Linked DNA regions of Oryzias latipes. The protein of the gene in region 1 purifies or fractionates together with the protein of each later gene. This does not show direct contact. Links are inferred from orthologs where the notes say so. Each region holds a gene or a part of one and is shown on either strand. Other genes may lie near its edges. The genes, in order: polr3h, polr3g, polr3k, polr2l, protein POLR1D, polr3f and crcp.

Region 1 (3,670 bases):
TTGACTCAGTTAAATCTTTCAAGTTTTCTATCAAATTTAAAGTAAAGGGTTTTTACAGGGGAAAGGGGAGGAGTCTAAACCTACTTGGTCTTGACGAAATAGCATCTTTCCAAAGATGAAACAAACCGCATATGGAAACTATAGGAACTTTTTCACACCTGCCCATGTAGGATTGACATTATGATTTTAATAATACACCTTTAGTTGAAAACTTCATGTTGGGTTAACTTGTGTTTTCTGTCTCATATTTTACTAGTTTGTTGATCTAACACATTTTATTTAGTCAAATGGCCCAAAACGAAATCAGAATAAGCAAACACCTAATCATGATACTATGTAACTGCTCTATTATGGCAGATTGATATCCAATTTATTTGTAGCCTACACAAGAAATTGCAAGTTATTGTCATCGTGATATCAGCCTGTGCAATATGTGCACTGAAGACAGTGTAAATTATGATGAGTGGTTATCTTAAATGTAAATAGATCCCTTAATGCATTTGACCAATTGGATGGACCCCTTTAATCTTAGATTCCCGCCTCCTTTGTAGACAAGGGTCATTTGCTGTATAATTGAAGTTATTTTGATTTTTATTGAAATAAATCTGATGCAGTGAAATGGAAATTATGTAGTAGTTTTCTGTTTTGCTTTATGTTCATTCGTCAAAAGTCATATTGTCATTGCAATATTGATGACAAATATCACACATTTATTCTATAATGCTTCTTTTTTGTCTTAGGTGGTTTTCAACGTGGGTCTCTGCATTTGTCTGTATGACATTACTAAACTGGAGGACTCCTATATTTTCCCAGGCGATGGCGCTTCACACACCAAAGGTATGACAGCAACAGTATTACTGTGACAGTCTCTGAATACCTTCAGTTAATCATATTGACGTCAGTCAAACCAGCTCACAGTCCTTCAATCTTTCAGTATTTTCTTTTAACACATAGATTTAAAAAAACACACATTAAAGATCTAAATCCTATTTCTGCTGACATTCTCACCTTTGTTGTCAGTTCATTTCAGGTTTGTTGTTTTTCACCCGTTCCTTGAGGAGATCCTTGTTGGGAAAATCAAGTACTGCAGTCAGGAGGGAGTTCATGGTAAGTATCATGTTTTCTTTAACACAGCTGACACAGATGTGTTCACACACATGTGGAAATATTGTTTGCTTGTCTAACTATGGTCTCTCTGCTTTACAGTGACGATGGGCTTCTTTGATGACATCCTCATTCCACCAGAGTCTCTGCAGCAGCCTGCAAAGTTGTATCCAACCTTACAATTACTGACTCTGCTTTATTAGACTGTGTTTGCTGCGTAAATATGATGCATTTGAGGAATCCTATTGATACTAAGTGTTATACAGTTTAAGGTGAACTTTCCTAATCTGAAACTCCAGTGATGAGGCTGAGCAGGTTTGGCTCTGGGAGTATGAGACCGATGAAGGGGCTCATGACCTCTACATGGACCAAGGGGAGGAGATCCGGTTTCGGGTAACAGACGAGGTCTTTGTGGACACGTCTCCAACAGGTCCAGCTGCTGCTACGCCTGATAATGCAGCACAGCCGGGACAGTCCACAGCAGCACCTGCAGAGGAGAGCACAGAGAAGAAAGAAGCGCCGTACACACTGATAGTAAGAGTTCATAATGCCATAAAAAAGCGTTTTTGCAAATACACCTATCGTCAAAACTTTTTAGCTCCTTTGCCATTACATATGTTTGTACCTTAGTGACACTCCATTCATAATCTAGAGGAATTATTATGATGCCATCAGATCCTCTGCAACAGTAGGAGCTTCAGCTCTTTTTTTGGAAGACTTTCCACAGTTTTAGGAAGGTTTATTGAAGTTTTTGACTGTTCAGCTGTAGCATTTGTGAAGTTTGAGACTGATGTTTGCCTGGCTGTCAGTCTTCACTCTGTTGCATCTCAAAGTATTCTGAAATATGCAAAATATAAAAAGTGCACATCTTAATCCAACACCAGGAGCTGTTCTTTGTTTTTTTTCCCTAAACAGGCTCAGGGTATTTCTGTACTTTTAAGAGGGATAGATAGTTTTATAATAAATGGAAAGTGGGATCTTTTTATTTTTTTAAACAGTCATGTGAGTCCTAAAAGGTGACAGTCTGCTATTTGGGTAGTTGGGGTTCTCTTCTTGGACGAGACCCTTAACCCCACAATGGTCTCAATTATAAGAAGCCTATAATCTTTAATAGAAAAAAAGCTAAATATTTAAATGTAAATGTTTGATTGTGTAAATGCAATAAAGCAGTTACATACATTTACAGTCTTAAAATGCTTTCTGGGATCAAAACCTTAATAATGCATATCAAAAACTAAGTGCAAAATCATGTAAAAAACAAAATTTGTCATAAGAATTTCATTTTTGTTCTTATTAGTGATAAATTTGTATTACATCTTTATTTTATATTTCTGTGTTTCTATTTCAGGGCACCATCTGTGAGCCAGGGCTGGGACTGCTGTCATGGTGGAACAATTAGCACTACAGAGGATGGTTTGTCCCTCATCACCCGAGACCTGCTGCTCAGTCAGCAGGAACAAAAAACCAGCATGAAGAACTCTATAGTTTTGTTACAGGAGTACAGATGAATTGAGATCGTCAGTGTGAAAGCAGCCGATACCAGTTTCATGTTTACATGTACAACTCACTGTGATGTGTTGAATGGCAATTTATGTTTGATACATTTCCTGTGAGAGTTTCTTAAAACTATGAGGAAATAGTTCATTATTTTTTGTTAAAGAGGATTTTATTCAAATGCCTCATCATTTAAGGTAAATAAGCAATGGTCTTCTGTGCTTTCTGAAAGTCCGTGTACATATTCTGAATTGAAAAACAAACTACTTGACTTTCTCTTGTGAGTTTATCAGTCGTATTTTTCTCTGCTATGGCGGGAGAACAGGTATTTCTGTAAGCAATTCTGCAAGATGTGTCACTTAAAAAGATGAGAAGGGTCTAATGTTCATCATATTTGAGAGGCAGAATGTTAAAAATATTCCAGGAAATCAGATCATTTGATTTTTAAAGAATTTATTTAGTTATTAGTGAAAAAATACAAATTTAGCTCCTACAATCAAGCAAGAATTCTGTTCTTCATAGACCTGTTATAAAGTCCCACTCCAATAAATGTTTGGATCTATTTTAATCTATTATAAAAGTGTGGCATTTTTTCATCTGCTCCTGATTCACCACAATTTGAATATAGAAATACTCAGTAAGGCACTTTTAATCTTAATTTTCTTTATGTCTATAATGAGAAAAATGTCACAAGAACATTTTCAAAACACCAAAAACACAATTTTGAATGGAGTGGATCTGTAAGTTCTAGCTTCCACTCGTTTCTTGCAATATTGGTTACTGTTTTAACTGGTTGTCAGTGTAAAAGACACCTGTCCACCCTTAAACAGTCAGACTCCAATGTCTCCACCAAGACCACAGAGCTGTCAAAGGACACCAGGGAGAAGATTGTTCACCAGAGACAAGACTAAGACGAACCAAATTACAATAAGGAAGGAGCTTGGAGAGAAGAGTTCAAGAGTTATACTGTATTTATCCCACAATGGGAAATTTGTTCTCCGCATTTGACCCATCCCCTGGGGGAGCAGTGAGCTGCAGCCGAACCGCACCCGGGAGGCAGTAGCCTGGATGA
Region 2 (4,297 bases), on another chromosome or scaffold:
TTTTTCTTTAATGATTTGTGATCTTCACTGGTTTCCATGGATTACATGAAATCCTCTCCATCTTTATCCACGGTAGGGAGAACACGTCAATGGCCATCTTGACCCCATAGGATAGCACAAGGGTTAGACAGGGCTGTTCATTCCTGATCCTCGAGATCTACCACCCTGACGGTTTTCCAGATCTCCAAGTCCTGCTAGCGGATGATTAGCTCAATCAGATGTCTCCACATTCTGATTGAATGAACACACCTGCTCCAGGTAGTCAGCAGCAAGCAGTGCAGGGAGAGATGGAAAACAGGCAGGGCGATAAATCTCGAGTACCAGGAATGAGGAGCCCTGGTTTAGAAAATGCTTATGTCCAGAATATACTTATTCACAGACAGGATGGTGGGTGATAAATATCCCAGTGCTTTGCTGTGTGTGTGAGAAAAACCTACACACTCATTCCTGAAAGTAACAGAATCTGCCAAAGTCATCAGCATGGTGACTTAAAAATAGATCAGCTTTGCAGGAAGAGAGCCAAGACAATGGTGAGGACCACACAGTATCCCAACCTCACCCATGTGCAAATATTTGAAAGTCTGGTTTCTTGTGTCTGGCTTGTCACTGGGCCATCTGTTAATTTCGTTTTGCAGAAATTTGGTTTGAGAATGAGAAGGATTTTGAAACTCTAATACACTGAATGAAGTTTTTAAGTTGTAGGTTTGACCCCAGATTTAGCCCCCACTAGCACCAAGCACCACATGTGTGCTGACAGATGCCCTGCCTACCCTCTTGCAGTATGTGCGTGGGCTGAACAGCCTTGACTTTGTAGTTCCTTGCTCTCCACCCTGGACTGGGGCGCTCGGCTATCTCCCTGTCGCTCAACCAGGTGACCGTCTCGAAGTTGTCTCCGTTGGCCAGCGCATCGACCTCTGCGCTGTGGACGCCCACCTGTTGGAACTGATGCAGACCCCCCGAGTGGTCGAAGTGGGCGTGAGTGGCGATGGCCAGCAGCGGGTTCTTCCTCTGCGGGTCTTTTCCCAGCAGCCCCTTGGAGTCGATGTAGTCAGGTAAGCTCCTCAGCCCCAGGCCGGTGTCTATCACCACGTCCTGATGCGAACCGCGGAGCAACCAGATGTTGGCCCGGTTGTCCGATTGATAAAACCGCTCCTGGATCCAGAATAGTCCGTCTCCGAGCGACTTGTGGGCGTACCAGTCGGCTGCAGACATCCCAGGACATGCAAATGTCGAGGTAAGCTTCGGAAGGGAGACGCGCCGTCGGCTGAATTAGCACAACAGTGTTAGTAGCCTCGTAGCTAGGAGCAGTGTGGTTTCATTGAAGCTGTAATGATGGTGGCCGCACACACCCTTGTTTGAAAGCAGCCAGCCCATTGGTCGAAGTGAGAAATGACGGTAGATGTGAACGCGGCAGCGATTGGACGAAAATAAGAAACGCCCTATTGGGACGTAAGCAGGGGCGGAGAGGGGAAAGCATCTGCTCACGCTGACTAGTCTATTGGTTACACATGCGTTTCCCAGCCGGTTCCACAAAAAAACCATAGAAAGAAGCGATAGGTTTATTTACTTATCTTTTTCGCCTAAATGTAAGCTAAACCGCTAAGCCACAAACTCGGACCGTTTAGCTTTAACAAATAAATCAAATTCAATAAGATTTCATTGGGAAACACGTGTCATTTATAGTTATAAAACTTTATTTTTTTATCTCACGTCTCCATAAAAGGAGAGTTTTACCAGCAGGCCTCCTGTAAGTATTTATGAAAAAATATATATCAGGGAAAAATTGTCATTTCTCATAGCGGACTCAATGGTGCAATACCGGCAAGCACGTGCTTGTCAATGACGGTGCTTGCCTGAGGATGAACCGTGTGTTGCAGGTCGTGGTCAGGGGCGCAGCCATGGCAGGCAAAGGCCGCGGGGTGGCTGCGTTTACCTTCAACATTGATGCTCTGGGCATTGGCAGAGGCAACATGCCAGAAGCCAGGGTGGGGCCCAGTCCACTGTTTCCAGTAAGTAAATGCCACACAAACACGGAAAGATGGAAGGTTTAATTAGCAAAAATTCAAGTTTTATTTAAGTAAAATAAATTGGCATGTGTCATCAACGTAGGGCTTTTAGTGTACTCTCCCTGTGTAGTCTCAGTACTTTGTAAAATGTGCTCAGAAAGCAAACTATGATGTAATCTATTTTGTGTCAAACACTTGGTTTATGGACACTTTCTGAGAATGACTGCCTGCTTGGATTACACCAATTTTCAGATAAACAAGAAACGTGTCACTGTAATAAATATCTTGCATCATTTGCCCTTATTTAGACTACTGAATTTAAACCGGTTCCACTCAAAGGAGGTGAAGAGGAAGACTACATGCTGGCGTTAAAACAGGAATTAAGAGGAGCAATGCAGAGGCTACCACACAACATTAAAGCTTGCTCCAGCAAAACGGGTAGGGGGGAGAGTGCTGACATATGAGAGATTTCTACGTCAAGATAATTCTGGGCTGCTGGAAGTGGAGATAACTGCTGCTTTTGGGAAATCAGACATTTTATGAGTGTTATACATAAGAGAAATGAGATTCTATAGTTACTGCTTATGCCTCATTATGAAGTTTTCAATTGTTGTTGTTTTTTTAGGGGTCCATCATTACAGATATTTTAAACATCTTTAATTTTCTTTGGTCTATGACATAAACCCAAGAAAAAACTTAAAGGAGTACATTTAATTTAAGTCACCTGTTAAAAAAAAGACAATTTCTAATCCAGGTTCCAGACTTTTGATCATTAGAAAATACTTTTTAAGATTCATTTATGAACAAATAATTTGGTACAATGCATAAATGTCTAAACAATAAATTTATTTTTGCTGTAGCAATGAATTGATTCCAGAGATTAACTTTCATTTGTTTTTTATCTTTTATGTTTAGTAAAAAAATTCTCACTGATCTGATACTTTTTTCAAATGTACTCTGTTGTTCTGTTTACATGAAACAGAGGTGGAGAAATACACTGAAAGATACTTGAAACAAGCCCAGATTAACAGTGAGGAATGGACTCCAGGTAATTGCTTTAGATGGAAATTTTTTTTTCAAAAGGTGTCATGTAAAGTAATGCAAACATCGTGTCACACATTTCAGACTGGAACCTTTTTCCCAAAGAACTGATGCCCCAAAGTAAAAAACGTAGAATTAAGAAAGGTAAATTAAAGTCACATTGCATGCAGGAAATGTTGAATGCGTGTTTTTTATTTATTTAAAAAGTGTTTTTTGCTTCAGGCACCAAGACTAAAACTGTGAAGAAGTTGAAGGAAGATAAAGCCAATGTGCTCAGTAAACTGGATGTAAGCCTATCTTCCTTCTTTAGCTTTTTTAGACTATTTAAATGTTTTTTTTTCTTAATTGAACTTTGTACAAGGATGTCTTTAGGCGCTGTCATTCGGTGCTGAAGTTAGTAGGCACATGCCTTTAAAATAAAAAAATCTAGTTTGGAAACTGCCATAAGGACAGAATAGTTTAAAGCCATGTGAAAAAAGATTATGGTTGTACGAAGTTTTAGCAAGATTTTGCAGAAGTCTACATCTGTGTAAAATATAAGGCACAATTTTACCTGTTTTTTTAATACCAACATTAGACTGAAAAACGCTTATTGTACTGGTGCTTCTGATTTTGAATTGGTAAAAAAAGTAAAAATCGCATGTCCCTTTCTGAAACTGATCAAATTACATCAAGTTTAAAAACAGTTTGACTCTTGAATGATCTTGACAGACCCATCTTTAGTGTCTGATGGGCTTAAATCTATTTAAAAAGGAAACTGTTCAGACTTGAACATTTCTTCCTTAACTGATCGGCTTTAAACACATTGGCCCAAACCATACTGCCAAGCAGAACAAAGAGAACTGCTGTGAAAATGTAGACTTTTTTTTAAATGGGAAGAAAGCCTACCATTTAGTTTGAATCCCACCCCAAAAAATCTGCTCAGGAATTGGCCAAGAAAGATGAAAATCCTGAGAAGTCAGATGAGGAAACTGAGAAGAAAGCAGAGGACGATGAAGAAATCGAAGAGGAAGAACTCGAAGAAGACATAGAAGAGGTTTGGTCCCAGGAATAGTGGAAAATCTGCATTGGTCTTATTTGATGCAACTAATGTTTTATCTGCTTGTTGCTCCTCAGGAAAATGACTACATTGAAAGCTATTTTGACAACGGTGAAGATTTTGCTGCTGAAAGTGACGATAACATGGATGGGGAAGCAACCTACTGAAGCCCATTTTGCATGGCTTTGACAGTTGCATATGAAATGTCTGT
Region 3 (2,997 bases), about 11 Mb from region 1:
ACAAATCAGCTGGGAGACTTTGGAACTTACGCATGATTTCCCCATCTGCCTTAACAACCTTCACAGTCATTGCTTGCCCATACTCCAATGCAATCTGGGAGTTTACTTCTTCCAAAGTCACCTGAACACAAAAATATTGCAGATTGTGGATTCTCATCCTTCTAACACAGTAGAGGGTAAAAAAAAAAAAAATCAGTCAAATGGACTTGGTTAATCCTTTATAACTGCAGACATTTCATGTTTTCTCAAAGACAAATTTGCAAATACGAAAGATAAACCAGTTGTAAATAACAGATTTCTTTCTGGGCTTAATAATAAATGAGATTAAAAAAAAACAAATGTGATTATTGTATAATAGTCCAATGTTACAAGAGCAATACTGACAATACTAATGTTATGGATTATAACCTGTGTTTTTGTTATTTTTATTATGCATGTTTGGTACTTAATTCTAGATTAGAACATTTATTTCATTGCTATTCGTATATAATTCTTAAATCGTATAAACAGTTTCAAGAAGAAAAAGGAGAGAAAACATAAATTAGAGCTATAAGATTGTTTTGAAATTGGATTCGATTTGGCTTTTCAAGAATATATATGCAGCTATTTTCTGCTATGCAAATATGCCGTCAGACAAACCGGAAGAAGGACGCGTTTCAACTTTAGTGTTAAATTTACAATTTATGAAAATTTTCTTTAAACATCTGCCTGGTGTGCGGAGTGTGGTGTTTTTCTATGACCTGGATCGGCAGATCACACAGTAAAGGGTCCTGCACAAGTCGAGCAAGTCCCTCTTCGAAGATATCAAGGATCTCTGAATGTGGAAGAGACTCCTCATCTTCCTCCTCGGCATCTGGAGCTGTCTCATCAGCCAGCTTCTCCTCTTTCACCTCACTGTGACTGTGACTGTCCTGCAAACGATTCTCTCCTTCGTCGGTTTCCTGCTCCATCATCTATTATTGGTTAAAAATAAATACATTCAGTAAAAATGAAACCGCTTTCTCTTTTTTGACGCGTTCAATTAAGTACAAAAGATTCTTAAAATAATAATAATAGGATACTGTTTACAAAAATGTATCCCAAGACTGGTGTGAATTTTAATGCTGTGTGTCGCAGACCTTATACCGGTGGTATCATCAAAACATGATAAATAGTTCCGCTTATCAAAAGTAAGAACTTTTTTTCATGCGGCGGATGGTGGGGTTTTAAAATAATTATATTATTTATAATGTTATACATATATTTATACATTTATATACATTCTTTAACAATAACAATTTCATTTTTAACAAACGTTTTTTTTTTTTTTGTTTCCTACCGAGCTGTAAAACCGGAGCAACTGCTTCCGCTTTGCTTCTCCTTGCTAATGAATTTCGTAGTCGCTACTATCTTTCCCGAGATAGTTTTTCTTTAAATAATCTGGTAATATGCTTCTTTTTTGTCCTACTTGTGGAAACGTTTTAATCGTAGAAGAAGGACAGAAATGCTTGAGATTCGCTTGTAACACTTGTCCCTATGTGCACAACGTCACGAGAAAGGTACGCTCCTTTTATCACTGTCTGACTCTGACTCGAGAAACAAACACGACATTTCTTAGGGTGGTTTTTAATCTCAAACTTTTCAATATTTGTAGGTAAACTACCGAAAATATCCCAAGCTGAAAGAGGTGGATGATGTGCTGGGTGGAGCTGCAGCGTGGGAGAACGTGGATTCTACTGCAGGTAACAAACAAGTTTGTTACCAAGAATTAAAAAAAAACATGGATAGACTAGAGAATAATATAAAACAAAGGCCAAGAAAAACTAATTTGACTACTAAGACAAATATGTTCTCCATAGGAATAAATTAAAGTTTATTTGAAACAGTCCATTTGCGTGTTTAAAGGGTGTTAATAGTCACCCTTAGCTGCAAGTACACTTGAAGTTTATTTTATTAAGTGTACTTGGATGCAAGTATTGCACATATACTGCTGACCATGTAACGTGTAGGGAGTACATTAACTTAACACTTATTCTGACTAAATTGTGACATTTTATGTTTACTATATATAGACTGAACTTCAAGTACACTGCCTCACTCTAAGTATACTTGTAGTACACTTAAATGGACTACTTTTTGCTAGAGGCAGTGTTGCTGTGTGATGCTATGGCGAGTACCAACCTGAATGTGGGCCACAGAAAGAAGTTCAATCCGAGAACTAACTAAAATTCTGAACATGTGTGTACATATATGCATGTTTGCTTGTGTTTTTTCACAGAAACGTGTCCCAAATGCGAGCATCCTCGAGCCTACTTCATGCAGATCCAGACCAGATCAGCCGATGAACCAATGACGACTTTCTACAAATGCTGTAATGCTCAGTGTGGAAACAGATGGAGAGATTGAGCATTTTATTTCATTCACTCATTATTTCTAGTTTAAATGGCAATCAAAGCACATGTAAAGAATGTTTTGGACCCATTATTATTTATAAATAAAATTTGCTTTTCAGAATCAATCAACGGACAAATTCTTTATTTCAGAGCTTTTATTGATAAAATAATACCTGTGTACATCAGTCAATTCAATTGTCTTAGATGTTTGTATCTTGTTGCAGACATTGAGAGCAATGCATACCACTGGTTCCCACACGTTTATTTTCTATGCAATCCTTGAGCTCAAAATGCAATTTCTAGAGCAACTCAATCATCCTTAAGGTAAGGAAGAGAAAAAAAAATACAAATCTAGGAGCCAGCCAAAGAGAATCACTTATTTGGATGTGTAGCTCATGCAGACAAATTCTGCACCTCCAAAGCGTTGGTGAAAAATGAAATCGGACATGCTGTGACGGAACAGTGCTTTTACACTGTTAGTGGTTTATCCAATAAAAACTGTATTTTTGATATTTTTTTAGCTTAATCTGAAAAGACTGCTCAGTCAAGGCTATCGCTTCATCTAACATGCATTTATTTATGTCATAGATGACAAATGTCAAGATTAGGTGATCAATGCAATGAT
Region 4 (3,196 bases), on another chromosome or scaffold:
TTTAATTGTTGGTAACAAAGTGGCATTGTAATTTGCTGAAAACCTTCTGCACATTCACTATAACTCTTCAAGAGTTAAAGTTCCAACCGCCATGACGATGTTTTGTTCTTGCTTCCCCAGATTGGAGGCAGAGGAGCATTGTTGCGTCGAGTTGTATATAAAAGAATCAAGGATTGTTTGTTCAATCTGAGAACACGGTTTTGTTCTTCCTTTATATAATAGGACTTGTTTTAACAAAAATTGGCTGTAGATTTTTTCTTGTAAAATAAGACTTTGTTTGCATGCACCATAACAATTCTTTCTGTAATCATTGTAATTTCACATTTCTTTTGGTAGAAAATCTACAATTAAAAAAAATCCCAAAGTATTCTCGTCTTATGTGCTCTGCTGTTGAATAGTATAACATTATTTGTTTGCATGTTTTCATAAGTACATAAAGTGAAAGGTTGAGCGATTTAACTCAACGCCTCAAAAATTAGATGGCATCTCAACTCAGTGAATCGAATACTTTAAAGAAAAAACTTTATTTAAATAAAATTTTCATTGCCACATATGTGCACAATACACCAAGTCATTATTGTTGACATTTCTTAAACACTGAATATATGCACAGGCCATGTTCAAAGCATGTTCTTCCAGCTAAAATTTTTCCAGCGGTGCATAATTTAACAATTTCTCAATAAGATCCACATGGGAAAGCAGCATCCTCCGACAGCAGTACCTCTTCAGGCCCAGGGCATCAAGAGCATCACTAGAAAAGGGAAGATGGAAAAGTAATTTTAGTGCCAGATATTGCTTGCATAATTACAGAAAAAAAAAAAAAAAACATTTCTATAGTTAGTTTTAAATGTTGTATCCTCAAATGGTCTGAATTCAAACTAACATCTTGACTGACAGTGAAACAGGAGGAGTAGAGGTTGAATGAAGGCCTTTATTTAGTTTCAGAAAACTTGACCATATAGCATTACGGTGACACATTGTTGAACGAACGAAACATGAAGGTAAAATGAAAATGAAGCGCATCTGTCTCACCCTTCAGTGTATTCGGCCTGAAGAAGACCAAGGTAGGCTTCCCATTTGTTCCCCACGATCTTCCCACAAGTGAAACACCTCACCGGGATAATCATTTCTGGATGCTTGAAGAAGGAGCCAAACTAAGATATTCAATCCACAATAAATAATATAATCAACAATCAAATCAATAATAAAAAAAAATTAAATAAACAAAAACATGCCAATATGAATATGGTCATATCTGAGAAAGGGTAATTATGTTACACATGTTCCTACAACATAATTCCGCTTATGATGCTAGCAAATACTTCTAAAGGAAGGTACCAACACGTTGTTTAGGAACGTCGTAACTAAAATGAACGCAAATATCTTGCGCTACAATTTCTGTAAACGATATAATATAATTAAGTAACTTGTGTTTAAATTACTGAGATTTAAAAAACAAAAAGAAAGGCCAACGCTAGCCGCGTACATGCAGCTAGCCTAGCAGCACGCCGTCGTTCACATGCTTCCCAAACTCGGGTACAAATGAAATAAAAATATTAGTAACATTACGTTAAAAAAGGAAGTTGTTAACTCACCTTTATTGGTCAAGTTTGTCCAACACTTAAACAGCGTTATTTGTAATAATAGTAGAGACAAAGTTTAACCGTTGACGATATAAACATCACAGCTCAAATAACCATTTCCGGTGTAATACAGAGCTTCCGGATGTGATCCTACAAAATAAAACTAATTTAAATAAACCACTAAATTTAGGTAAACAATGCTGTTGAGTTTAACTGCTGTGTGTTCATTTTCTGTATGTAAAACACAACTTTAGGATTTAACAAAAAAATTATTTTATCGCGTAAAAGTATTTGTTACAAAAACTGACGCGTACGATTTGCATTTTTACTATATATATATATATATATATATATATATATATATATATATATATATATATATATATATATATATATATATATTTTTTTTTTTTTAAAGAAGGTAGCACATTGTCTAAATACAACCTGCATCGGCCCTCAAATATTGAGAAATCTGTTCCTCAAACCAAAATAAAATCACATCTCTCTGGGTGGGTCTGTAATAATACCAGTTAATCCCAGACGACATATGTGTCCAATGATTAAATGCTTTAATTTAAATCACCTACACATTCATGTTCTATGATAAGGAAACAACTACATTTATATGGTATATGTATTCACCAACATTTGTCTATATGCAAATATTACTTTTTGTTATTTGAGGATTTCTCTGCAATAATTTAGAAAACATTCTAATGTTGCCACAGTCATGTGAGTAAAATAAAATAAAAAATCCTTATTTGGGAATTGGCATAAAATGCAAATCCCAAAAAAATCCTCTTTTTCTAATCTTGACTGTAGATCTACAGCTTTCATTTTCAAGTTTAAATATTTTCATTTGGATAGCTTATTAGCCAATACTTTCTGTGAAACTGTTGCTGTTTATTAACTAATCTTTAACTGTCTTTCCTTATTTTCATTTGCAGAAAAAAAAAGTTGTGAACATAAATCAAATGTAAATCTGATCTAAGCCTTAGTCTCATCTAGATTTCTCAACATACCAGTATTCAAAAGTACCGGTACCCAATTCCTTTTTTATATTTGTTGGCAGTCCATGTTAAAACTCTCTTGAACTTACAAGATTCATTCATTCATTCATTTTCTTAACCGTTTTTCCCTTTCGGGGTCACGGGGCTGCCGGAGCCTATCTCGACCACTTGTGGACAGGTCGCCAGTCTGTCACAGGGTAGAACTTACAAGATCATAAATTTAACTGAAACTCACATTTCTACTAATATAATTGCTTTGATAATTCTTGTGCATTTAAAAAAATAATTCAGACTGGTTCACTTCTTTTATTGAGGCTGAAGTTTAAACTCTTCCTTTTTTACATTTAGACATTTGGGGACAAAAGCCGGGCTGCATTATGAAAATCAGTTAAAATATAGAATAATAAAATATCCTTCGTATCATTCTAACAGACACAATGATAACTATCATCATCATTGGCATCATGTATTGTCACCAACATCGCCATCGTCAACACCAAACATTATTACATCATCTATGCAATTTAACTTGCTACAGCACATGTGCTAAATGAATAGTCCTACCTGAATTATTGCATTTATACGCTGTTAAAATTATGAAAA
Region 5 (3,990 bases), on another chromosome or scaffold:
TAAGTGAAGGCTTGCAGATGCGTGTGACACGTTCTTAATCCTTCTTGTCTGAGTTCAAAGCTGTACTTGCTCATCTTTTTATATTAGGATACCGGTCCTGCACTTGCTCTCATTTTCCCACAGATTACTATCTAATCTTGGGAGAACTAGGCAGCGGCATGCAGGAGTTTCCTTTTTAGAAGATCAAAAGACTCTATGGCACTCATTTAAAAACTCAGGTGTATCAGGCACCCAGGTATCAGATATTTTACAAAAACCTCATTTGGATGTCTTTCATCCTACAAATACTAAACACACAAAGACAGCACGAGAACTGATGTGAACATTATTATATATTTATTTTTTGCATGCATTAGTAATAATACAAAAACTGAGCCTGCTGTAAATTACATTTTCAATTATTATTGTCAATTTTCTGCATTTACCTTAATAACGCCCCATCTGCAAAGCAATTACTAAAATATATATATATATATATTTTTGATACCATCAATGTTTAGATAAGCCCTCCCCCCATCTCTCAAACCCCCCGTTCACTGTCTGAGTCCAACCCCCCCTAGGAGCGAAAAGGGAGGACAGAAGAGGCGACAATGGTAATAACAGAAAAAGCCAGCATCACACACACTGACGCCGCTTACAGTGAAAGGATGCAGATGTGATGTTACCTCTTCAGGCTGCTCCTCTGCGCCGCGCCCGGGCCTCGAAGAGGGGCGGGGGTGGCGGGACAATTAGCAGCTGCGGGACCTCAGTCACGCAGTCGCCGCAACGGACGGCCCGTTCCGCAAACCTGCACGAAAACGCCCCCGTCACTTTGGTGCCTGGTCCCGCCCACTGCTGTCCGTCAAAGAGACTGGGCGGAGTTTGCCGCTGTCAATCCACAAAAAAAAGAAAAAAAAAGTAGAGGTGGCTTCAATGTCGCCTGCCCAAAAACGTCCATTCAGCGGGAATTAAAATCTTTTAATATGTTTATGATTCCGATATGTTAGAGGTAATAACATAAACGGATAAAGCTTCGGGATCATACAGGGCATGGAATATTTTTTGTTTTTCAATGTGACAATTACAACTATTATTTTAGTAACTAAATTACTTTAGAATAAATGTTTGGGTTCTAAAAACGGCGTGAATTTTACAAAAATGCATTATTTATTTAAAAAAAAATGTTATGGTTTAACAATATAAAACAATGAAATGATCAGGCATCTTTTGGTCATAAAATCAGGTCCTCGAAAGAAGGACCTCGCAGAGGTAAATAAATCCCCTAACATGAGCCTGTAGAAATTTCCTGAAATAATTCTGCGTTTTAAAGTCTTTAGGTGGTCAGGCATAATGGCTGAAGATAATGAATTGGAAAAGTAAGTATTTTTTATTTTTAGATTATCATCGATTAACTTGTTTACGTTTGCTCGGTTAAACTAATACATCGGGGGAATGGTGTCTGGTACCACCAGATTAGGCTAGCATGTTTGCATAATGCATTTCTGTAGCTATGGGGTTATTTTGGTTAGGGGACGGAGTGTATCTTGTGTAGCAGTCAACACACTCTGCCTTTTGGCAATCAACAGCTGTTCTCACTACGTGCTATAAGATCGGCTGAATCAGAGAGAGCCCCCTGCGAGACTAATGCCTCAGCTGGTCGGGTTAAACGGGGACACCGCTGATGTCCCAATTACTTATGATTCACTTCCTCCGCGTCTCCTATTTTCTTCCTCGCTCGCACATAATTATATTAGTCTCCCCTTGAGCTTTTATGTCATCTTGGTCTTCTGTTGTTATCCGCATTTTTCTACGTCTTTTCCTCCAGACGGGCTATAGAGGAACTCCTCAAGGAGACAGACAGAGCCAGGGTGAGAGCTGAGACCATGGGCCCTGCAGGATGGTGAGTTATGGTTCTGAAATGTCATCCCTGACAGCCTCCACATAAAACGCCATGTAAAATCTTACTTCATAGGTTTAGCTGTTTTTTTTGGAGGCTTCTATTATTGTTGTATTTGTGTTTAACTAGTTTTCTATTATAGATAATTCGTCAGGTTCCCAAAGACACTTGTCTCTCTTGGCATCTAAAAGCACACACATATAGACTAAATTTATTATTAATATTTATTTATTGATTGTGTGTCTGTAGTGATTCTATGTCTAAAAAAAACGGTATAACCCTGTGAACTTTCCTGGAATTGAAAATATGCTTTCAGACATTTTTATTTTCTGGGCTGACGCTGATTTATCAAAACTATTTTTTTCTTCTTGATTTATTTCAGATGTGAGAGGTCAAAGCTAATGTTCTGAAGCTGTCATTCACTCGTCATTTAATGCAGTTACAAAAGTCACTTGAAAGGAGGGGACAAAAGGCAAATAAAATTTTTTTTTAAAAGACTGTCCATAATTATAATGTTACCTAACTTAAACTTTTCACATTTTTTTGTCTATCCCAAACATTTACATGACAACGTTCTCTGAAGTCTGCAAGGCTTGTCTTTTGTGTAACAATTACAGTTTGAGTTTTTTCACACTGTGTCGCATTTACAATCATAGATTTATCTTGGTAACCAATATTTGTTGACTGATCTGTATTAATTAGATCGACAAATGTTTGCAAGTATATTGTTGCACAATGATTTCTTTTGCATGAAATTATTTATTGACCTATTCACTTTTTGTGTATTTGATCTGTTTGATGGTTAATGGGTTTCTCTTTGGATCTCCCTTCATTGAGTCTCTTGAAATGATAAGATTTATTTGTGTATGTTTAACAGATCTTAAACAAATTTAGAAGGACTTTATTCTTTTTTGTGGGTTTCTAATGAAGAGGTTTATGTTATTTTGTTTTTTAGGTCTGGTCCAAAAAAACTACAGAATATTAAAAAAAAGTTGGTTTATGTAATTTCCAGAAAACTTGCACCTCTTATCACACTATTTAGTAGTAAATTAAAGAATGACCCAGTATTTTTAAGTGTTAGAAAACATGGAAAAACAGCACAATACCATAATGTTTTATTTTCATGTGGGAACCTAACAAAAAGTGAAATTATACAAAAAGCAGTAAGGTGAGCATCTAACTCCCAACTTAAAGCAAAGTCATGCCCTTAATAGTTGTCCTATAATTTAAATTGTACTCTGGAGACAATTTGTCCTTTAATGGAAACGACTATACATCTGTCAGATATACTGATCAGATAACTGTCGCTTTTCACATTAGACTTTAGATTAAAAAAAAAACCTTAATTCTGAATTTTTAAGTGGTTGTGTTGTCTTCTTCTCTGTCAGGTTGAAATGTCCCCTGCAGAGCACCAACAAACGCTTTCTCCTCAACACTCTGCGCTCTACCGGCCTGCAGCGGCGAAACGATGAGCAGAGAACCGCAGACTCCAAAACAAGAGACCGCCTGACCCACAAGTCCCGTGACAGACGGTGTGACCGCAGCAGAACACCTCCGACAGACCACAGGAGTAATGGACGCCACAAAGACCATAAACATCACACCCGTTCAAACCGAGATAAGGAACTGGACAAAGATAAGAACAAATCTGACAGACACGGGGACAACAGCAGAGACAGGAAGCATGCCGATGGACCAAACGGAGACAGAAAAAGAAGTTCTTCATGAATGAACTTGCTGTGTTTTAAAGGTAGCCTTGATGCTCTACTGAAAAATTAATTGGCTGGAGGAGTATGGCTGACTTGAAATAGTTCTGTAGAGCCCTCTCACCCTCACAGAGACCCAGACAGACTAGAAGGACCTCTGCTGATCACAACGAATTGTACAGTGACAGAATATACAATTTGTATTACAGCTTTTGAATGAATGAATGAAGAGAGTAAAAGGAAATAAATATTTTGTGTTTTCAGGCATGAATAATTGATCCTCTTACAGTTCTAACATGAATCTTTATGCACCAGAACGAAACATCAAATATACTTTTTAGGATATAATCTAAAAATCATATCAAAGCTAATATTTGTTTTATCATGTTCCACTTTGTAAAGGTGGCT
Region 6 (3,980 bases), on another chromosome or scaffold:
GAGAGATTGGGGGGGGGGGGGGGGTGAGTGCCGCAGCCGGAGCGGCAGCAGGGGGCGTCGGAGCGCGGCTTACCGGGCACAGGCCGCAGGGCGTCTTCACCAGGCCCGCCGGCGGCAGCACGGCGTTCACGCCGCGGTACAGCTTCATCTGTCCGTCCACGCTGCCCACCGTCCCCTCCTTGGCGGCGATCACGGTCATCTCCACCTTCCCGTCGTAGATCAGCGTGTTCAGGATGGTCTCGATGTCGTCCATGGACAGGTCCACCTGCACACGGGACACCTGTGAGAACAGCTGCAGCTGTTGGGAGGGGCTGTGAGGTCACGGCGGGGCCACCTTGCTGATGCCCAACTCGCTGATGTACTTCCAGACTTCGTGAGACGTGGCGAAGGAGCTGTTCCTCTGAACCATGGGGCTCTGCTGGCCGCCCCGCGCCGCCTCCGCCTGCACACAGGGGTGAGTGGGGGTGAGGGGTGGGCCCCTCAGCCTGGTGCTACGTTCACACACGTGATGCGCGTTGAAGACCACAGAACCTTTGCTCGCCTACGGCGTTCATTCTGGACTGTGGCTACCCGGCGCCGTCTCCTGCGGTTGGACGACTCGGTGGGAAACGTCCAAATCTGGTGAGTCTTTTGTTCACAGCTCGATTCTGATCCATCATAGACTTGGCGTCGACACAAACCGCAGTTATTACTTTGTCCTTTCTGATCAAGTTTCAGTCGTTGGTACTTCTGCTTTGACGCCATCATACGTCGCAACCAACTCAGAGTCCCTGATTGGTCAAAGTTCAACTGGTTTCACGTTCAATGGCGGCGCTTTTTGTAGAGTTTGGAGGCGGAAGCGTAGACGCGTTCCCGTAGACTTTGGACTCAAAGCGGTCCCTTGAACGCGTTTCCCGGTGTAAACGTAGCTCTACAGCTGACCTCTGACCTTTGTGACCCATTGGTTTGGTGTTCCGTACATTTGGGTTCTCCATACCTTGCTCTGCAGGAACTTGAAGCACTGCTGGTTCAGAACCTCCACGAACTCGGACTCAAAGTCCTGGTCGCTGTACCAGGCCCCTCCGGTGACGGAGCGGTCCGGCTGCACGTTGTACAGCATGTAGACCTTCTTCTTGGACGCCTGCGTGGCAGACGAGCAGAGTTCAGGACTGCCGGCGGCCACAAGCACGTCTGGACCGGCTCGGTTCTGAACTCACGGCCACAGATTTGACGGCTTTGATGAGCTTCTTGCTCTCCAGGTTCTTCAGGATCTTGTTGATCTCGGTCAGAGGGAGGTTGCTCTTGAAGCGGATGTCTCTGCTCCAGATTCCTGCGAACAGAACATCTGGGAGGTTCTGACCCGCGGTACCTTCTGGAAGGAGGCAGACAGAGCTCACCTTTGTTTCCGGCATCCTCGATGATCTGGTAAACCAGCTTCTCCTGGTTGTCCGAGCCCTTCATCTTACTGAAACAGAGGATTGGGGTTCACGGTGGACAGAACCAGAACCTGCAGATGGAACGCTGCTCACCTGGCTGTCTGAGAATCTTTTAATCTGTACAGAAGACCAGAACTGTTCCTGAGCAAGTCCAGCTGGCCCTGGAACAAACACCAGGTTACGTTAGAACCCCTCTGCGCTGAAGAATGGATTGGGTTGTTCAGAACCGGACTAACCAGGGACAGCAGCTTGTTGATGGCCAGGGCCCTCTGCTGCGGCTCCAGGTGAGGCATGTCGTTCTGGATCACCTGGTCTGTGATTCCCTGAGGGAACTGCTGACACAGCTCTCTGATCCTGGAGACACACAGGCGTTCAGAGCTGAAGTTCCTGGATCAGAACCACAAGGTCCAGTCGCTCCAAAGATCAGACATCCCATAATAAACCCTGTGTCAGCTTGGGTCTCATCTCCAGTTGGAACAAAAAGGAACATCTTCAGATGGACCTCTCCAAGACGGAGGTTCTAGTGTTTCTGGTCCGTTCAGAACGTCACGTTGGATCTTCAGAAATGGTCCAAAGACCGCCTGAACTCTAGAATCCGTCTGACCCATCCGCGTGTTCTCTGAACAACATCCAGAACATCCAACAGCTGCAGCGATAGTCCTCGGACCTGGACCTTCAAACCAGGACTCGGATCTAAAACCTTCATACCGGGACTCGGTTCTAAAGTCTGCAGAACTGAACTCGGTTCTAAAGTCTTCAGACCTGGACTCGGATCTAAAACCTTCATACCGGGACTCAGTTCTGAAGTCTTCAGACCTGGATGGACTCGGTTCCTTTAGTCTTTAGACCTGAACTCACGGGACTCGAGTCCGAGTCCAGTTATGAAGACATTAGACCCGAGTGACTCGAGTCTAATGTCTTCAGACCTGCACTCGGTTCTGAAGTCTTCGGAGGTTTACTCAGATCTAAAACCTTCAGAACTGGACTCGGTTCTAAAACCACCTGAGCGTGAGCTGAGTCGGTCTCCCGATTCGAACCTCTGGAACCAGACAAAGTGGTTTCGGTCTTAGAAGCCTGCTGAGGTTCGGTTTAGAGTAGCCTCCGGAACCAGAACCGTTTCTGAACTTAAGACACGCGCGCATGAAACAAGCCAAGGAGCTGCTCGTAGATGAAATGCACGCGCTTCGGTCATGGACCGGCACGCGGCAGAATCGTGAGGTCCGAACCTGGTCTCCACCTCTGCAGGTTCCGCCAGGTTCGTCTCTTTCTTTACCCGAACCTCCGCCATCTCCCCGGTCCGCTGCTGCCGGTGACGCCGCTTCTTCTTCTGGGGGAACCACGGAGACCGGAGCGTTACCGCCCCCCAGCGGCGGGAGAGGCTCGGTCCTGTGTGACGTCATCAGAGCACGTGATGTCCGTTCACGTTTTTTTTTGTTTTTTTTTAATTTTGTTTATTTGAACTTTAAACATACACATAATAACAACATACAAAAAAGAGAGAAAAAGAAAATAAGTAAATAAATAAAACAAAATATATAGAATTATAGTTTACAACACTAGGGATTGTCATACAGCATGTGATCTTCAATGAAAACACACAGTTTTATTGCATTTTTGTTTTTCATCAATGTCAGAGATTTAAAATATAAACTGATTTCTTTAAGAAATGTATTAAATAATGGTTTCGTTTTTACAAATCTGCACTTGTGAATGAAAAATTTCCCAGATATTAATAAGGTATTGAATGTCAAATCAAATAGATTATCACCAGAAACTACTCCAAATAATATAATGTGCTTTTGTAAGTGAATAGAAATAGGAAAGGGAAACTTTGAAGAGCACCAAAAAAAGAAATCCTCCCAAAAACTGTAAACATACATACATTCAAAAAACAAATGATCAAGTGTTTCAATATTTATATCACAAAAAGAACAGTTATTCTCTGGAAAACCTAAACGTATGTGTAACAGTTCTTTGCATGGATAGACTGCATTCATTATTTTAAAATGGATTTCTTTGTATTTTGGGAAAATTGGATATTTAATGAACTGAGACCTCAACTTGCTTATTTCCTCTCTTGTGTAAAGCTGTGACATAGAATGATTTATGTCTAATGTTGGAAACAGGACGGCTCTAACAAATAAAGATCGTATAAATGAGTTTGGAAGTTTTGAATTAACCGGTCGACCATCAAACAACAGAGAGGGAAGCTGAACTTGATCATCATGAACCAGACTGGAGGACATTTGGACCAAAGTCTGAGGCTTTGATCACATTATTATATTATTTTCTATCATTTAATTTAAATTTACTGGAAAAAGTTTCAAATGAGATAATGTTTCCATTGTCATTCATAATATGTATTAATGACCAAATACTGTCATCAATCCAATGTTTGTAAAATATTGATTTGTTCCTACATAAAATATCCCAACAGTTCCATATGGAGTATTGTGTGAACTACAGTTATGTTTGTAGAGGAGTTTCCATACAGTAACAGCTGCTGATGATGAGTAGAAAGTTTAATAGGAAGTTTTCTGTAATCAAAATCACATTTTAGAAGCA
Region 7 (4,187 bases), on another chromosome or scaffold:
GTGGAATCAGCATTATCGGGCATCCTCAGGGAGGTGTGAAAAAGATCGACCCCTGTTTGATTGTTCCACACAGCCAGGTTGTTGATAGGGTTCCCCTGATAACCAAGTATTTCTTTGCTGATAAACTTTTGAAATACGAATCTAGTTTTTTCGAAGGCTCCTCTGGCTCTCCTGTTTTTGACAACCACTGCAATGTGGTTGCAATGCATTCAGGAGGATTCACCTACGACAAAGAAGGGATGGAAAGACGGGCTGTTGTTGAATATGCCCAACCTCTGCATTTCATTTTGGAAGATTTTATTATCCAAATGGTGGAGGGAAAAAAGTTTGACGTTTTGAGAGAATATCTTGATTGCAGCTACACTCGAGGCACCGCCGTCAAAGACGGTGTCAAAAAAATAGTTGAGAGCAGAAATAACCAACGGTTCAAAGAAGCTGCAAGGAGCTGTGTGGATGACAAAGTTGTACAAACATTCCTTGAGTTTTTCTGCCAAACTGAGGAACCTGTCCCAATGGAGGTTGTTTAGGTCTCATCATCTCATTTTATAGTTATCCTGGGCTTGACTGCAGTAAAACAAAGAAATTCCAGCAGTGAAAAGCAAAAATTAAACGAAAGCTTTAAACTCAGCTTTAATAAAAGTTAAAGCTTTAATTTCTGCACTTATTGTTTACTTTATTGTTGCTCCAAGCAATTCACATGCACCTGTTTAATATAATTATGTGATTTTTCTGTCCCAGAAACATTTTTAACCATCACTCTCCAGTTCAGAGAAAAAATAATGCTGGAAAAAATCTGTTCACTCTTGTATATTTTACTTGTATGGATGTCCAATTCTTACATTTCAGTCTTGACTCATTCCTGTATCAAGTTCTTGAAAAGAAATGCCAACAAAAGGTTTCCTTTTTTTGGTTGTTTTATTATGTTTTGGGATTTATTTGTTTTTTCAAATATAGATTACTCATTACTCAGTGCAGTAGCATAAAATTCATTGTACTTTTTCTGTTTTTGTTTTTAAAAAGCAAAAAGTGTTCAATACTGTGTGCTTCAAATCATGACTAATGAAACTGTATTAAAATCTGATAAAAGTGACTTCTAGTGTATTCCTTTTTTGTTCCCTTACCCTAACAGTAAATGTTAAATGTTTAATATGTTTAAAATAACCCTCGATGTGTTCAGGGTGTACTTCACCTTCTCCCTGATGCTGCTGCATGAGGCTCTGGAAGTCCTTGTTAATTTCATTGAACTGTTTGGTGAAGGGGCTTTCGAATTTACACTTTTTGAGATACTCTTACATTGTTTTTCATTTTCAAACATCTCGGCAGTGTTTCACTTTTTTAAATATTTATTCTGTTTTCTCTGATCCCACGTTCTATGTAAAAATGCGTTTTTTGCTAGGCGGAACCAATATACTCCCCTATTTTCTACACGAACCCCTTTATTGTAACGGAACCTAAGAGTCGACATGGAAGTGTAAGATTTTTTTTTTAAGAACAAAACAACGGCTAATAAGTCTTTTATGTATATTTACATGTACAATTTTAATTGTGATCGATGGTAGTTTCGTGCGTGTTTCAGTTTCGGGTTTATTATGTGATGTTTTGCTTGTTCCGTTGGGATGATGCTGTCGGCCAAAAAATGGAGAGATGATGATCGACACACAAAACAACTGAATTAAAACATATTGAGTCCGGGAGACTTTGATCCATTTTGAAGAGTTTGCAGTCTACAAATGTTTTAAATTGTATTATGTTTGGGGACGAAGTTAGAGACGGGACAAAAGGTCGCGAAATCGTTTATAAACGTAAATTTCAGAAGATGGGAGAAACAAAAAGCACGGGTCGGATTAGTTTGAGTTTGTGTTATCAAATATTTGTTTCAAATCATGAAACATTCCATTTACAAACACATTCTGCGTTGGCTCTTCAATAATAAATGAATTAGTTATGACATGATGAAGCAGCTAAAAAACATTTTGTCATCTAATATAAGCCAACTCAGCCGCACTCCACAACATTTGTCAACTTGTCACTTGAGCTCTGATCTAATTCATATTTGCCTGAAATCACAAACTTAATTTTTCTAAATAACATTGAAGCAAAGAAATATGGGAAACAGGTTTGAATTTAAACAGTATTCTGTCTTGTTTTTCATTAGATTTATTTATATTTATCAAAAGTTTGCTTTTTTTAATTGTATTTCTTTTCTTCTTCAAACTTGAAAAACAAAAACATTTGCTAATATCTATTTCAGTAAGTTTCAACGGCTTTAAAATAATCTAATTGATGGGTTTCTAGTTTTTAAAAAGGGAAAACACAAAAAAAAATTATTGCTGTTCATTAAAGAGAAGATCTGAGGTTCCGATTAAGAAAATTTCGTTATATAAATAAAAATCAAGTAGAGAAATCCAGCCGTTCTTTTAGTAACACAAGGATGTGAAGATCAAATCACAGAAGAAAAATGTTTACTAAATATATAAACTACATGGGAAATATTCCAATCTTATAAAGCTTGTTTTGGTAACAGATATTTTAATTATCTCATAATTTAATGTTTAACAATTGTTATTTGGGTTTTTTTACACAGAAAAAATGCAAACGCGGCCATGCTCAGTAACTATGAGGTGAGACTATAAGACTGTCTATTAAGGGTTTTTGTTGATTTTCCTGCCTGGTAATGAAATTAATTATTCAGAAAAGCTAAATAATGTCTTCGTCTCAGGTATTCAAACTTCTCACCGACCTGAAAGAACAGAGGAAAGATGCTGGAAAAAGCAAACATAGCCTCGGGCAACAGGACCTCAACACCATCATGTATGAAGTGGGTACTATTCATACTGTCTGAGCTTTAGTTGTCAAATCCAGTCCATGTTCTCACCTGCATTTGCTTTCAGACTCTAAAGTATTTGTCAAAGACGCCATGCAGCAGACAGAGTCCTGAAATTGTCAGAGAGTTCCTCACCACCATGATGCCTCAGAAGCTGACCAAGTCAGTATCTAAAAGATAATATTTTTCACCCCTCTGGGGCTTCAATTGTAATTTCCGCTTAATAAATGATGTATAGTTTGGGGATAAAAATGTCTCAAAGTTAAAATTTTGCCATCTTTCTCTCTTTAAGGGCAGAAAAACTGCAGCTGTTAAACCAACGGCCTCAGAGTGCAGTGGAAATTCAGCTTGTAAGTATTTTTCATGTCTTTCTAAATGTTTTATCTTTTTTTCCTAAATAATTTACTCATGTATTCCTATGGTAGCTCTGTATAACAAATGAGATCTTTCTCATATTTGTATTTTTGTTAACTCAACCCAAAAAGGCTCAAATCTAACCCAAAACATGCACTTTTTCACATGCATCCATCAGCAACTTCATTTGTTACATGTAGATTGCCCTACAGGTTCTACCACTCTGGTTTTTTCATGCTATTCCTGTCTGCAGGGTTAGTTTGAATGGGCAATTCACAGTAAATCCAGGCTTGAGCCCATTCCTGTAACGCATTAATAATCTATTGAAGCAGCTATTACAAGACAATGTTAACAATACCTTATACAGCAAACCAAAAAGACCCTCATGACCCGTTTAAGCAAAGCCTTATTATTGCTTTAGCTAAGCGTTGAGGTTATGGCTGTGATGGGTTTAGAAATATTTAATCCTTAAAATGGGTACATTGCACTATTTGACTAAAAATCAAGTAGAGAAATCCAGCCGTTCTTTTAGCAAACTGAGTAACACCAGGATGTGGAGTGCAGACTTCTGATGCTGCTTCACTGGGGTGTGGTGTGTCCCGAAAAAATCTTTTTTAGCAACCAATAATTACTCACCTAAAGCCAAGTGTAGAAGGCTCCCTCTATTAAGAAATAATCTGGTTTCATAATGCAACAGCAATTATATATTGTCCTAAATCAGTTATTCTAGAGCAGATTATCTCTTAGAGTACATTTTAAAAAGTGAATTTCCAAAACTATATGGAGCCTCTTAAAGAACTGCACTCCCTGTTTACCATTTGTCTCTCTGCAATCTGTATCCTTTTAAAATAAAAATATTTTTTTCAATACAAAGCAGCTATAAAGCAGTTGTTGCAGTGAACACAAATGAGGCCATTTCCATTAGCATCCACTAACATGCAGTTCTAAAACTCAGCCTGCAGATGTCGCCCTTCTCACTTTTGAGATGCTTTTAACCCTTGTGCTATCT

Evidence for each region.
Region 2: the proteins of polr3h (region 1) and polr3g purify together in Homo sapiens (affinity purification with mass spectrometry; 5 studies listed by BioGRID and IntAct, with this or other methods). This does not show direct contact. The link is inferred for Oryzias latipes from reciprocal best matches to the Homo sapiens genes POLR3H and POLR3G.
Region 3: the proteins of polr3h (region 1) and polr3k purify together in Homo sapiens (affinity purification with mass spectrometry; 3 studies listed by BioGRID and IntAct, with this or other methods). This does not show direct contact. The link is inferred for Oryzias latipes from reciprocal best matches to the Homo sapiens genes POLR3H and POLR3K.
Region 4: the proteins of polr3h (region 1) and polr2l purify together in Homo sapiens (affinity purification with mass spectrometry; 4 studies listed by BioGRID and IntAct, with this or other methods). This does not show direct contact. The link is inferred for Oryzias latipes from reciprocal best matches to the Homo sapiens genes POLR3H and POLR2L.
Region 5: the proteins of polr3h (region 1) and protein POLR1D purify together in Homo sapiens (affinity purification with mass spectrometry; 6 studies listed by BioGRID and IntAct, with this or other methods). This does not show direct contact. The link is inferred for Oryzias latipes from reciprocal best matches to the Homo sapiens genes POLR3H and POLR1D.
Region 6: the proteins of polr3h (region 1) and polr3f purify together in Homo sapiens (affinity purification with mass spectrometry; 4 studies listed by BioGRID and IntAct, with this or other methods). This does not show direct contact. The link is inferred for Oryzias latipes from reciprocal best matches to the Homo sapiens genes POLR3H and POLR3F.
Region 7: the proteins of polr3h (region 1) and crcp purify together in Homo sapiens (affinity purification with mass spectrometry; 4 studies listed by BioGRID and IntAct, with this or other methods). This does not show direct contact. The link is inferred for Oryzias latipes from reciprocal best matches to the Homo sapiens genes POLR3H and CRCP.

Annotation. Positions count from the first base shown.
Region 1 is NC_019866.2:19,484,386-19,488,055, forward strand, and holds the end of polr3h (DNA-directed RNA polymerase III subunit RPC8), read left to right. Parts: intron 1-740; coding exon 741-837; intron 838-1,020; coding exon 1,021-1,107; intron 1,108-1,206; coding exon 1,207-1,270; intron 1,271-1,403; coding exon 1,404-1,638; intron 1,639-2,452; coding exon 2,453-2,503; 3' UTR 2,504-3,170; downstream 3,171-3,670.
Region 2 is NC_019867.2:16,255,786-16,260,082, reverse strand, and holds the start of polr3g (DNA-directed RNA polymerase III subunit RPC7), read left to right. Parts: upstream 1-1,497; 5' UTR 1,498-1,747; intron 1,748-1,877; 5' UTR 1,878-1,898; coding exon 1,899-2,009; intron 2,010-2,314; coding exon 2,315-2,444; intron 2,445-2,988; coding exon 2,989-3,054; intron 3,055-3,131; coding exon 3,132-3,191; intron 3,192-3,269; coding exon 3,270-3,334; intron 3,335-3,972; coding exon 3,973-4,083; intron 4,084-4,163; coding exon 4,164-4,253; 3' UTR 4,254-4,297. Other genes in the region: mblac2 (metallo-beta-lactamase domain-containing protein 2), read right to left, coding at 771-1,212. UniProt on the Homo sapiens protein: DNA-dependent RNA polymerase catalyzes the transcription of DNA into RNA using the four ribonucleoside triphosphates as substrates.
Region 3 is NC_019866.2:8,138,713-8,141,709, forward strand, and holds polr3k (DNA-directed RNA polymerase III subunit RPC10), read left to right. Parts: upstream 1-1,321; 5' UTR 1,322-1,427; coding exon 1,428-1,538; intron 1,539-1,633; coding exon 1,634-1,721; intron 1,722-2,257; coding exon 2,258-2,385; 3' UTR 2,386-2,497; downstream 2,498-2,997. Other genes in the region: snrnp25 (U11/U12 small nuclear ribonucleoprotein 25 kDa protein), read right to left, coding at 31-121, 741-953. UniProt on the Homo sapiens protein: Core component of RNA polymerase III (Pol III) which synthesizes small non-coding RNAs using the four ribonucleoside triphosphates as substrates. Can mediate Pol I proofreading of the nascent RNA transcript.
Region 4 is NC_019861.2:18,860,753-18,863,948, forward strand, and holds polr2l (DNA-directed RNA polymerases I, II, and III subunit RPABC5), read right to left. Parts: upstream 1,728-3,196; 5' UTR 1,596-1,727; intron 1,155-1,595; exon of another isoform or gene 1,137-1,154; 5' UTR 1,128-1,136; coding exon 1,033-1,127; intron 752-1,032; coding exon 640-751; 3' UTR 501-639; downstream 1-500. UniProt on the Homo sapiens protein: DNA-dependent RNA polymerase catalyzes the transcription of DNA into RNA using the four ribonucleoside triphosphates as substrates.
Region 5 is NC_019878.2:17,475,455-17,479,444, reverse strand, and holds the start of protein POLR1D, read left to right. Parts: upstream 1-1,190; 5' UTR 1,191-1,248; exon of another isoform or gene 1,249-1,309; 5' UTR 1,310-1,329; coding exon 1,330-1,355; intron 1,356-1,804; coding exon 1,805-1,879; intron 1,880-3,264; coding exon 3,265-3,604; 3' UTR 3,605-3,990.
Region 6 is NC_019859.2:414,638-418,617, forward strand, and holds the start of polr3f (DNA-directed RNA polymerase III subunit RPC6), read right to left. Parts: upstream 2,801-3,980; 5' UTR 2,704-2,800; coding exon 2,642-2,703; intron 1,770-2,641; coding exon 1,652-1,769; intron 1,577-1,651; coding exon 1,509-1,576; intron 1,445-1,508; coding exon 1,377-1,444; intron 1,310-1,376; coding exon 1,197-1,309; intron 1,121-1,196; coding exon 977-1,120; intron 443-976; coding exon 335-442; intron 266-334; coding exon 74-265; intron 1-73. UniProt on the Homo sapiens protein: DNA-dependent RNA polymerase catalyzes the transcription of DNA into RNA using the four ribonucleoside triphosphates as substrates.
Region 7 is NC_019872.2:8,449,030-8,453,216, reverse strand, and holds the start of crcp (DNA-directed RNA polymerase III subunit RPC9), read left to right. Parts: upstream 1-1,387; 5' UTR 1,388-1,463; coding exon 1,464-1,471; intron 1,472-2,584; coding exon 2,585-2,621; intron 2,622-2,719; coding exon 2,720-2,818; intron 2,819-2,891; coding exon 2,892-2,986; intron 2,987-3,116; coding exon 3,117-3,174; intron 3,175-4,187. Other genes in the region: protein FAM111A, read left to right, coding at 1-527. UniProt on the Homo sapiens protein: DNA-dependent RNA polymerase catalyzes the transcription of DNA into RNA using the four ribonucleoside triphosphates as substrates.